Arabidopsis thaliana: one gene and its partners. The protein of the gene in region 3 interacts with the protein of the main gene of each other region in a pairwise test. Each region holds a gene or a part of one and is shown on either strand. Other genes may lie near its edges. The genes, in order: ZW9, AT5G64160 and AT3G51660.

Region 1 (4,846 bases), on a different chromosome or scaffold from region 3:
AATTCAGATCAAGAATTTTTAGAAAATGTTTGGGTGACAAATCATCAAGTGATATAATCTTGTTAAGTACTATTTATGTTTTTTAAGGGAATTTTGCCAATTGTGCCATATTTGTATAAATATTTTGTCGGCAATGCTATTTTTTATATCTTTAAAATTGTGCAATGAGTCAGCTTTTGACAAAGGAGAAGATGTCTAAACTACCTTTAATTGGTTATGGAGGGAAACAAAACATTTCGCCCAATGAGGCTGACACCTCTGCCAAAAGCAGTTGACGTCTAGATAAGATGATGGTGTGGCGTGGCACATTAAATGTGGACAGAAAGAAAGTTATGATGGTTGTTATACAATAAAAATGGTTGCTTTTAATACAATAATAATTTATCACTTGATGATTTGTCACCCAAACATGTAGGAGTCGACGAGAAACGAAGAAAGATGGATGTAGATAATGTATCGGAGAAGGGATGATGGACAACAATACTGTAGTTGTAGCAGTCGACGAGAAACGAAGTAAACAAAATACAGATGTCCACGAAGATGGAACCGTGGACAAGTTTTTAGTAGCAGTTCATGTTCCTAGTATATCTAACAAATCTTCAAAAGTACAGTAGTTGAAGCCGAGGACGGGAACATAAATGAAAAGTGAACAAAAAGTTTAAGCGCAGTAGACAACTGTACAACTACAAGCAATAGAGAGGAATCGATGTAGATAATGTTTATGGAGAAGAACAACATTGTAGTAATTGTATTAGTGGACGAAAAACGAAGTGAAAAGAATAATCAATTACTAAGGACAAAACTACAATTATTGAAGCCGTAGACGATCGACTAAACGATTAAGAAGTGGACAATTATAAAAGGAAATGTGAATGGATTACGTACCCAATCTTTAAATCCAAAAAAAAAAAAAAACATCCTAGGGACTGCCTCTTTCATCCTATCCAATTTGGTATTCAATATGTGAAATCAGATTGATCAAGTTTGACATAGGAAAGCTCGAACTCATTATTATTGAACAGAAACAAAAAACACAATGAAGCAAAGTGATAGTAGCCAGTTGTAAAATTACACTAGCGACGATTAGTCACCTAAGTACTATCTCCCGTTAAAACATTAAGAGACGATTGATGAGAGTAGTAGTCGGTTTTCGAGAAGGACAAGATCTGGACTTCAAGTTTGAGAGTATCGTTGACTAGGAAACCTTTTGATGTGTTTTTGATATCTGCAAATGATAGAAACCTGTCGAAACCCCATCCATTCTCCGTTGCATTGGGCCATGCCGCCACTGTGTATATAGGAAGAAATCAAAAGTTATTTTTATTTTTTAAAGGCTCATTAATTATAATTAATTAGCTTTAAATTAGTAGTAGTAGTTGACAAAGTAGATATCAAACCTTTTTTCTCGAAATTGTTGGATTGGATCTGGTCAATAACTCGTAACTTAGCTTCCACATAACCCTTATCATTTGACTGATCACTCAACAAATAGAGTGACAACGAATTACCCGTAGCATTTCCAACTCCATTTGGATACACTTTCAATGCCCTTCAATGTAAAAAACCATCATATTATTAAACTAACACATCTTGTACGTATTGTTATATATATACAAGAGGAAGAAAGTCACACGTACCAGTTTCTTCCTCCGGAAGAAAAGGAATCAGAAGTGTAAGAGTCAAGAAAACGTGTAGAGAATTTGGTGAGTCTCCATTCGAAAATAGGGTCACGAATGTTTTGTTCATTAGAGAACACTTCCCAATTTTCAAAGGGTTTAACAATGTTGATGTCAACGCCAAACACAACGCTTTCGCCCTCGAAAAAGTATCCATATGCCGGATTTTCAAAATAGTAAATTGGTAGAAATTGTAAAAGTCCCCACTGTTGTTTAAACAAATGAAATCGCTGGGCCTCAGTCTCTGCAAACGGATCAAACTTAAATAACTAGTCTGAACAAACCACAAAAGATTTAAACATATATATTTACTTGCTCTAGATTAGTTAATTAGTACCCTGGCTTATTTGGTACTTGTCTGTACTGCTTTTATAAGCGAGGAATGTGATCTCTGCATACACATCTTTTGGATTGGTGATGAGGCTTGAGTTATCGACTCTTACGTAAATCGAAACGTACCCACCCGAGTCCGTTGGAATGTATATGACTGGGTAGATTAGGAGCGTCCTTATAACATTTTAAGTAGAAATATGTCAAATTATATACAAATTAAAATTTGGGTGAGATTCAGAGCAATAAGTTAAAATCTTTCACATAGAAAGTGGAGATGATCAAAACACTAGTATATAAATGAATACCCTTTGACAAAAAAAAATGTATATCTTCTATGTATAAGGTATGGTTTCTCAACATTTTTGAAATGGAAGTCAACGCGTACGTACCAATTGTATCCACCGACGGAGAAAGGACGTGACTCATACTTGCCACCGTTTTCTTTGACCTGCTTTGCCATAGTGACAAAAGACTGGAACTTCACGCAGTACGAATTTGGAGGACGAGTTCTCGTATCTGTTGTTACTGCTTGCGAGAGCTTCTGTTCATCATGAGCACGAACAGAGGCAGAGCTAGGTTTTGACGAGCCACACGGAAGATTCCCTGAGTTCCCCACCGCCATGAAACCTTCTTCTACTACTGCTTCCGTCTCAATTAGGTTTTGAAGGTTGATATAAGGTTTTGCGAATCTTGCAACCTCCACAATGAGTACGAAACAGAAGAAGCAGTAGACAAAGATTGAACCATAATTTCTGCTTTTCTTTTCCTCTGAATACATTATTTCTTTTTCTATATTTTGTGTTTGTAATAATGTCTTGTTTTATGTACGTATATATAGGCATAATGATAATATGTGTCACGAGATTCACGTTTATTAGTGATTAGTTCTCAGTAATACACCAATCTCATGAGATCGTTAGTTCTCAGTAATACACCAATCTCATGAGATCGTGACACGTAGGTATTCACTAATTAATTAGCACGTTCTACGACATATTGTTTTGTTGGGATATACGTGTCTCACAAAATAGTAATTGTTTTCTGCTGCATCATTATTTTAACTTATAAGTACAAGAGCAAGTCATAGTGGACAACTTCGTGTTACGCACGTCTCAAAGCAGCTTAAAAAACCCATTGATGAGATCTCGATTCGTACCAACTACCAGACACGATTCATACTCATTAATGTTACTAGAGATTTGATTTTTCAACAAAACAAAAAAATAATAGATATTATCTGAATTTAACAGATTATAGTTTTTTTTTCCTTTATTTCACTATCAGTCTCTGTGTACACTATGGTTGTTATTTTTTATTGAATGAACGTGAAACACCATTTTCAAGTTCATCGACAGAGAGATTCGGAACAAGACAAAGGAAGCATTTCGGAAACCACATACAACTTTGGATTAGATGAATTCACTGTTGTGTCTTCTTTGTTTATTTGTTACCTTTGTCTTTATTCTTTTTTGGCAACGCTTCTCCCGGGCCGGCTCTGAAAGAAGCAACATGAAACATTTGTATGTTGTCTCCATTTTTAAAAACTTTTTTTTACAGCAAACCTGATTTATAAATAGGCTTCCAAATATATTTAGTTCTAAGAAAAATATATCCAAATTTCAAAACAGTTTATAATAACCCCAAATATATAATTTGTTACTTTGGCCCCCAAATTTTGACCGGTCATAGGTCTCTCAACCCCTATATACATTATACATCATGTAATTCCAAAACTATTATATATATATATACACACTATTTCATTAATATTTACATTTATATATAATAATAATAATAAAAACCATGACAAAGCATCAACCCTTACCATATCCATAAAATATATTACTCTTGCGATTACCTAATGACATCTATATGACCCTATCGATTTAATTGCCAGCGCGGTATAACAGTGACACCAATAATTCACACTACCAATTCAAAATCAATTCCCGATAAATAAATAATTGAAACCAAAATATTTCAATACTAGATTTTAACCCGCGGTACACCGCGGGGACAATTTATATTTTAAAGTTAATATATATAAAATTTTGCAAATTGTATCTATCTATAAAATATTTTTATTTTATAATTTACAATTGTTATTAAGTAACGTTCTGCCAAACCCGTCACGCCAAACCCGTCCCGTAAAAAAACCATTATTTTATTAATGTTAATCTTATTTATGATATGTTTATGAATTATTGTCTAAATATTTTAGTCGATGTGGGACGTTGAACTCAAACATTTTTCGCCAATTGGTTAATATATGTTTATTTTTAAAATTTCGAATCACAAATTATGGCGGAAAGAATAGAGATTTTTTTAAACTTTATATATTATATAATGATGTTAAAAAATTATGATATATTAAACTTTTTATAATTTTAAATATTAATAATGTTTTATAAATTTAAAATATTTAAATAATTATATTTATTTATTTTATATTTTGAGCCTTTAAGGTAATGACATAATAACTCTAAAAGCAAGGATTTAGAAGATTTAAATCTTTAATTAAATATTTTCATTCCTAAATAATTAATGTCAGTGTCATGAGATTGTAAATAAGTTCAAATACATGATTTATTTATTTAAACAAAAAATGTTTAGTAAGAATAATATTTGTTTTAACAAAAAACTTTGTTTTAAAATATTGTTAACAAATATGTTTATGCTAATTTTAAGGGTTAAATTTGATTGATAATGTGGTTGACAATTTAAATCAAGTAAAATTAATTATTTTGGAGAAAAGATTTAATGCTAATGGCATTGAGTTGTAAATAAGTCCAAATTCAGGATTTATTTGTTAAAATGGCTGCAAAAATGTATATGTA
Region 2 (4,269 bases), on a different chromosome or scaffold from region 3:
TTAGATTCTAATCTTTGATATCTGTATGTGGTCTCATCCAGGTATGCTGGATTCATGGATATCGAAACTGATACAAACCCGATAGATCGATCGATAGCTCATTTGCTGTTTCACAGGCCCTCAGACTCATCTCTTTCATCCGATAACAATGTTCTGTCTTATAAATCTCATCCAATGGTAAGTTAAACCTTCGATTCTTACACCGCCATTTAATGTGCAAAACACAGTGCCTCATTTTACCCATCACTATCTACACAGATTCCTCAGCCCAATAGTAGTCCGAGCCTGAGGATAGAGAAACAAGAGGAAACTACAGAACTTAGACCCGAAGCAGAAGTTGTAACAAGTGACAACAATTAATGATGTCAAATAAAACTGGCTCTTTCATTGCTGAAGCATTCGAGATATTGTTGTTAACACTAATCTCGATTTTGGCTAAGCGAAATTGCTCAGGTTAGTTACTAAAATCCTGACTGCTTCTTCATTAGAATCATGGATTTTGTAACACAGTTGTATTTATGTGTTGAGATAACTTTCTGGTCTAGATTTCGGTTCGAACCTGATTGTACACCTGGTTGCTCGAACCTGATTGTACACCTGGTTGCTCGAACCAGGTCTTTAAGATATGTTCTTTACCTTTGTAATCTGTTCAAGTTGTTAAGTAGAGGAAGAAGTAGAGACATAGCAATTCTGTAGATAAAGATGTTAGTTCGTTTTGTAATGCGATAAAATATTCTGCTGTGTATTTACTCTCTTTTTTTCAAAATAGCGAATTTTAGGGTTTTATTTTCCAATAAATATTTGATGATCTCATAAATATATATATTTCAATAATGATGAAATTAGACATTCCGAAGCAAATTATAAGATTAACCTTTGTGTCACAAGCTACGTTACAGAAATTGGATTTGGATGGTACAAATGTAGTAAAAGGTAAAAGAAACACTAATCGAAAGTTTGCCTAAGCTGCATCTCGGTTTCACTTTTCCAAGAAGCGTGAGAAGATTGTCCTCTCATTCTTTTGCTCTTCTCTTTATCTTTGATCGTAGAGCCTTTCTTCTTCGCGTCTACGTCCGGTAATGGCCGGTCACCACAAATCGGGCATACCATTCCTCTTGCGCTTGTATATGTTTTCGGTACACCGCATTGCACACACATCCTAAACTCATCATAGAAATCCTAATCAAGCTCACATTGTGCAAATTTATACTAAAGAATGAAGAAGAGGGCAAGGGTTATTCATACCTCAAGAGATCTGCAGATTCTTCTGCATTAGGATTGGTTGCAGTAGATATCCGCTTTTCACCACTCTCTGAAGATGGGGGTGCATCAATATCGTTTCTTACTCTCTCATGGATTCCTACTAGTTGAGGTTTTGCTTCCATGACAACACCTACAAGCCAATAAACGGAAACCATCAGGCTGGATCGAGAGATAACAACAGTTCCATAAACAGAACTGTGAAACTGGATAGATAGAGATTACAACACAAAGTGCCTGGTTTCATATTTCACAATGTTTATGCTTTAAGTATCAAAACAAGCTTCTAAAGCTAAATCCACATTCACATATATTTTCGAGATACAAATCCGTAATCTTGTGAACTTTAAACCTACTGATGTAAATTCTTCAACATCATCTAAAGATGTACCATTCCCTATAACCAAAATGCTAAGACGATGCAAAAGAGTTGTGGCTACCTTTTGGTTTAACTTTCTTCTTTTTGCGACTAATACGATTTGCATGTTCTGCATCTCTAGCTGAAGCTTCATTATCTGCTTCTGTGCGGTTGTTTAGAAACTCCGGTGGCCCTGAAATCTGCAAAATTCAATAGAAGCAAAGAATCATTCACTATAAGCTTTTCGAGTAAGAAGTAACCAAGCCAACGAACACTGAAAAGTTTTCACTATCAGAAGATCTCTTTATTATTCAAACCCCAAACCTAACCTAGTCTCAGGATTCCTAACCCTAAATTCCGATCACATCAAATCTACAGATCCAAGTAACTTATTTTCATCTATAATAAAGAAACCATTCAATCTCACAGCGAATCTCCTCAAGGAAAACGACAATTCGATGAATTGAGGTGTATAAAATCAAAATCAAAGAGAAGGAAGACCTGAGAGAAAACGTCGTCAGCTGAAGGAAGGCCGGCGTTTTTAGCGGAGGAGGCAGATGCAGAGAAATCAAACACAGAAGACGATTCATATCTCCGAACATCATTATCCCCATCTTCGTCGGAGTTGTCGTAATCCCCAAAAGCTCTCTCCTCTGCTTCTTCTTCTTCAGCAGAAGAATAGCCTTGAAGCAGCGTCAAGCTCATGTTTGTTCGTTGCTCCAAAGATCTATCGGAGCCGCAAACAAAAATAAGAAGAACTTTTCTTTATTTATGCTTTAGCCCCTTATATTCCTTGTTAATCTTATTTCAATCCTCGGTTCAAAACCCGGCTAAAAACAGAACCGGATTATCCGGTTTAGTTGGTAATATATTTATAAACCGATTTGGTCTGTTTGTGCGGCAAAAACCTTGAAATGATAAGAATCTTCCCAAGTCTACGGTTAACCTCTTTGCTCTCTGCCGCTAAACCTCTTTGCTCATCTTCTCCGGCGAAAAAACCACCGCAATACACGTCGCTTACAGAGTCAAAATCCTCTCGGCCGACTAAGTCTCTCAGCATAACTCCCAAGACACCGCTATACCTTAGGACGCCGTCGCACGCAACTTCTCTATCGGAGGTTTGGAAATGGCACGACTGGGCGAAAGATCTGGCGTCCTCCGTAGAGGAATCTTCGAAGAATTCCGAAGATACTCTTGACTCTGTCATTCTCCACCGTGAGCTAAAATGGCTGATCGAAGACTCAATCGTAGACGATCCTTTAGTGATTCTTCATAGAAGCGAAATCGCGGACAACGGCGAGAAGAATGTGAAATTGAGAGCGTCGTTGGAGGAGCTTTACGATTTATGGAGGCAGAGGATCGAGAAGCGTCGGCCGTTTCAGTACGTCGTCGGATGCGAGCATTGGAGAGATCTAGTGTTGTGCGTTGAGGAAGGGGTTCTAATTCCGAGACCGGAGACGGAACTGATCGTCGATATGGTGGAGGAGCTTGTAACGAGAGATGAATGGTTTAAGAAAGATATTTGGGCTGATCTTGGGACAGGAAGTGGTGCTATTGCGATCGGCATTGCTAAAGTCTTGGGAAGCCGTGGGAGAGTTATAGCTACAGATCTCAGTCCGGTGGCGATCGCCGTCGCCGGCCACAATGTGCAGAGATACAGCCTTGAGGTTAGTTGATTTTTTTGCTAAAGCTAATCATGACAAATTATACCAATTGTATTCATGGAATTGGGAATTTTCAACATCAAAGTTGTAATGGATTAGAGGATTTGGTAGATAAAAGCAGTATATTGTGGATTGAAGAATTTTCAGTTTGATTTCTTCTCATGGTGGTTGTGAATTTTGATATATGTATGAGATTCTTCAGCTTTGGTTACTTCTTGCCATTGTGATGAAATTGGACTTATCCAGGGGATGATTGAAGTGAGAGAAGGATCTTGGTTTGAGCCTTTGAAAGATCTTGAAGGAAAACTTGTGGGGCTTGTGAGTAATCCACCATACATACCAAGTGATGACATTCCAGGCCTACAAGCTGAAGTTGGTAGACACGAACCGAAACTTGCATTGGATGGTGGTATTGATGGAACTGATAGTCTTTTTCATCTCTGTCATGGGGCTTCTCGGATGCTTCAACCTGGTGGCTTTTTCGTTTTCGAGGTACCTACCTTATTTTCACTCTGTTTCTCCAAAATATTTAGTAGAAAGATACAATCGTTTGGGTTTACTATGTTTTTCTCTTTGTCTCTGATACTAAAACCGGAAATGTTAGTATTGAAAAGAGATTTAAGATAATCGTTCTTGTGTATGAGTCCGAAGAAACAATTGTTGCTTATTGTTGCTTTCACTTTATCAGTAAGAATTTGGCGTTCTAAGAAGATTATGATTGCCACTCAAAGATCAAAGTCTTGATTGGTCAATTTTCATTATATGTTTATTTGGTTGGAAGATGTTTGCGTATATACTAATAATCACATCAACCATGAAAGATTAATCCTATTTGTTTATGATGATGCAGACTAATGGAGAGAAGCAAAGCAAGATGATCGTAGATTACATGATGACCAGTGATCTCAAAGACTGTTTCTCTGATTTGAAGATAGTTTCTGATTTTGCTGGAATCAATCGGTTCGTGACTGGCTTTCGTCTCTGAGC
Region 3 (3,762 bases):
TGATTGTAACATTAGACTCGTCGGCCATTGTTAATTGTAGTGACTGACTTCATAAAACCGGTTAAACGTTGTCTCAAAATGTTTAGCATTTCTTTTACATGCTTAGTTGGATTTTGAAACCTCATCTTAAAGTTCTCTGCCCTTATTTGATATCTCTACCATTCTATTGTGGTCCAAAATCAAGAACGTGTGTGTACTATACCAATTGTTGGCCCCAATCATATGAAACAAGAATTAATCTGTACGACTAAAGATTTTGTTTTTAGAATATTATTTTGTCAAGTTTCATTCATTCATGTTAGCTCCTATTTGAAAATAAACGATGGAATCATAGATTTCTACTAACCGGAAACTCAATGATTTCAAAGTTTGTTTCTAATCTTCAAGGAGACTACTTCTTCTCTAATTCAAAATTGTTAAGTAGATTAAAAATTATGAAACTATGACCAAGTCCAAAGACTTAGTCTTTTTTTTTTTGACAATGACAAAAAAAAAAAGAGTTTTATATTAAGTTTACAAGTCCAAAGACTTAGTCTATGTCTCTCAGATTAGGACATCTCTCGGTATGTTTTGTTTCAAGTTTTATATTAAGATTATAGGGTCAAGATCTACATGAATGATGATATAATAGTAAAAGATTTGTAAACATAAAAATAGAGAAGACTCATAAAGAAAAGAATAACATGTGAGTCTGTATATAATTTGTGTTTGATGAACAATACAAAGATCATAACACTAAAGTTTAGAAGGAAGAGGCAAAGAATTAATATCAAAAACTTTAAAGATAAAACGAGTGGGATGAATAGAAAAATGAGTGTGAAGAATAGAACCAACGGTCGCTATGAGTTCTCTCTTAACTTGTTTGGTGATGCCTCCCATTGACACAATCTCTGCATATGCAGCTGCTTCTTTGTTCCCTCCAAATACTATCTCTACTGATCCCTTCAACACCACCATCACTAACTGCAATGGACATAACTCGTTTATTGAGTAAACATATACAAATTGGAAGATATATTTGTTATCTCCTACATCTTCCCAACACATAGAATGATATTTAGAGGAAAAAAATCTTGGCCACATGCTATTAATATCGATGTTTCCTCTTTTGTACATAAAAATATATCTTGGTTTGAGGGGTCAAGTATACATATTAATAAATCAATAACTGTGATGTTGACTTTTTTTTCTTCTTACAATTCTGAAGCCAATTTACGTGAAACCTAGTAAACAATGCTTATTATATGACGTCTCAATTATCTTATATTTTCTAATATATATAAAAAAGATAGAAAAGGCATTACAATAACTTTAGAATGGATAGAGTATTTGATCACTATTGAATTCCATTAAATAACAAAAGTGCATCTGATATATGTAAGTCAAGGATTTTTTTTTTTTTTTGTCTGATTTTAAAACTTAAAGGAAATTTCTGAAGGAAAGAGAGATTAGTGTTTAAGAGAGGTTCTTACGTTTTGAGGTCGTCCGACGATGGAAGCGACGGCTTTGGTGACTTCGGAGTAGAACGGATCGGTGTTAACGCCGTCAAAATTGACGTTTGTTGTAATGTAAAGACAAGGCATTTTCTCACCGTGAATACTAACGCCCGTTAAGCTTTGTTTGCAAGAATCTCAAGAAACCAAATGAGAGGGGATTTAAATGGTGTTTGGAAGTTGTGGAAGAGAAGATCTCTCACATGGCCAATTATATATAGAGCTAAATTATCGCGTCCAAAAATTAATGAAAGAAATTATTGTATTGCATTATTTTAAAATTTCGTTTTGATGTGAACAATTTTTGAAATAATATCTTTGAGTTTCAAATCTGACAACTTGGGGACGTGACTCAATCAATTACCGCAGCTACGTCGCCCTCGAAGAAATTTGATTTCATACCATATTGGACCACACACACACACAAAAAACCAAGTCCATAATTTTTTGTTAATAAAGGTAAAGGATAAAAACTTGATGTTATTAATATTTGTATTTTCTCCGTAATGGGTTAGGAAAATGTTTACGAGATTCGTTTTAGATCATTGACCTTTTTTTTTTTTTTTTTTTTTTTTTGGGCAAATGTTTTAGATCATTGACCATTTATTTAAAATTGTGTGTTTCGTACACATCCATGTGGTGCGTATGTAGCGCCGCTACTTCGTCTTAAAAAGATTTGTTTATTTCGCAACTGTCACTATAAACCGGTTACCCACAACGATACGTATTATCTGCAAATTAATCTTATCAGTTATCAGTTTTAAAATGTGGAAAACGTTAGATTTATGGTTCCATATTTTCGTATTAACAACGATTATGGGTTATCTAACAACGACTATTACACATGTTTATTTCAAGGTTTGGTATAAGTTCGTTATAGGACTTACCATGAGCCTATATCGAAAGCCAACTTTTCATCCATGTAGAGTCATACCCGGACAAGTTCGGTATGTTGAACCGTAAACATATCACCTATGATCCACTGACTAACACGGTTTGAGTCGACTTGTCATAAAATTCACCTAGTAAAACCGACAACCTGCCTTAATAATTAAACCGTCGAATTCCGGTTTGTGTCTCACAAGTCACAACCGTCCGGATCCCTTGCCCATTTACTTTATCACGTGTTTTTCCCCATAAGTTTATATTTTTTATTAATTGATGGACAGAAAGTTTTTGGTTTTGGGATGAAGTCACGAGGACAAGAAGAAATGGAAAAGGCATCATGACTTGTAAGGGTTAACAACAAGAGATAGAGGTTATATGCTTACGCGGTCCTAAGCACGAATACTAGAAGCTTAGGGTTAGGACCACTAGAGATATAATGCAATTTGGAAGTCACCACAATGTTTAAGAATTTTATCAGCAACTTTGGTTGAAAATAATAAAGAAGAATCTAGTTCGAAGTTTTCTCTCCATGATTTTTTGAAACTGATGGACCATCAAAACATCTTTGGCGTATGGTGGGGCCTCAGAACACATGGGCCGGGCTTGGTTACACATGAGAAAATTGTTGTTTTTAGTTAGATTTTGGTGGACTAGTATAAATGGATAAAAGAAGTCGTTGGAAGAAAACCAAATTGATAGAAGAAAGAAGAAGAAAAATAGCAAATTGTTGAAACAGGGACAGAGGCTGTCTTTAAGGAAAATCCCGTATGATTAAAGTGTACGTAATCGATTAGTGTTCCTCTGTAAGCACTAAGTCAAAAGTAAACTCTAAAGCCAAAGGTTTCAATTTTCAAACATTGTTAAAGCGAAGTCTGTCCACGAGAATTAGCACATACTGGTCCACCATGTTATCAAGAAACGCCAAACCTTTTTTTTGACAATTTATAGTTTTTGAAATATTTAGTAGAAATCTTTTATCTTAAGGAAGAGATTGACAAAAATAGATAAATAAACAAATAAGAATAAAAGATTGAAATTTTTGAAATTAACATATATTTAGCCATAGTGGAAAGAAAAATTTATAATAAGGTTGGTATATCAAAAATCAAAGAACATGTGAAAAGGTTTAATAAAATAAAAGCTATAGAAAATTGATAAGTTTTGTCCTTATGAAATTAATGTCATGATATATATATATATATATATATATATTATTGTACTTTTTAATTAATAATCCCTTTTTGAAAAGAAAAGAAAAATATGTATAAGAATTTTTTGTAGTGTTCATATTCAGTTTTCTAGAAAAGCTAGGAAAGCGAAAGTGGCCTGGCATGGTTTTGTAATTTCCTTTTTTAATATGATCATAAAATAAAATATGTAA

The links.
Region 1: the proteins of AT3G51660 (region 3) and ZW9 interact in a two-hybrid assay, tested with the Arabidopsis thaliana proteins (one large-scale study listed by BioGRID).
Region 2: the proteins of AT3G51660 (region 3) and AT5G64160 interact in a two-hybrid assay, tested with the Arabidopsis thaliana proteins (one large-scale study listed by BioGRID).

Annotation. Positions count from the first base shown.
Region 1 is NC_003070.9:21,611,303-21,616,148, forward strand, and holds ZW9 (TRAF-like family protein), read right to left. Parts: upstream 2,868-4,846; 5' UTR 2,788-2,867; coding exon 2,399-2,787; intron 2,184-2,398; coding exon 2,014-2,183; intron 1,921-2,013; coding exon 1,638-1,920; intron 1,550-1,637; coding exon 1,398-1,549; intron 1,289-1,397; coding exon 1,092-1,288; 3' UTR 501-1,091; downstream 1-500. Other genes in the region: AT1G58265 (Cytochrome P450 superfamily protein), read left to right, coding at 1-86.
Region 2 is NC_003076.8:25,668,995-25,673,263, reverse strand, and holds AT5G64160 (plant/protein), read right to left. Parts: upstream 2,335-4,269; 5' UTR 2,324-2,334; coding exon 2,120-2,323; exon of another isoform or gene 2,046-2,119; intron 1,819-2,045; coding exon 1,701-1,818; intron 1,394-1,700; coding exon 1,246-1,393; intron 1,160-1,245; coding exon 946-1,159; 3' UTR 554-945; downstream 1-553. Other genes in the region: AT5G64170 (dentin sialophosphoprotein-like protein), read left to right, coding at 42-177, 259-360; AT5G64150 (RNA methyltransferase family protein), read left to right, coding at 2,533-3,285, 3,529-3,774, 4,133-4,267.
Region 3 is NC_003074.8:19,163,494-19,167,255, forward strand, and holds AT3G51660 (Tautomerase/MIF superfamily protein), read right to left. Parts: upstream 1,830-3,762; 5' UTR 1,584-1,829; coding exon 1,473-1,583; intron 964-1,472; coding exon 736-963; 3' UTR 502-735; downstream 1-501.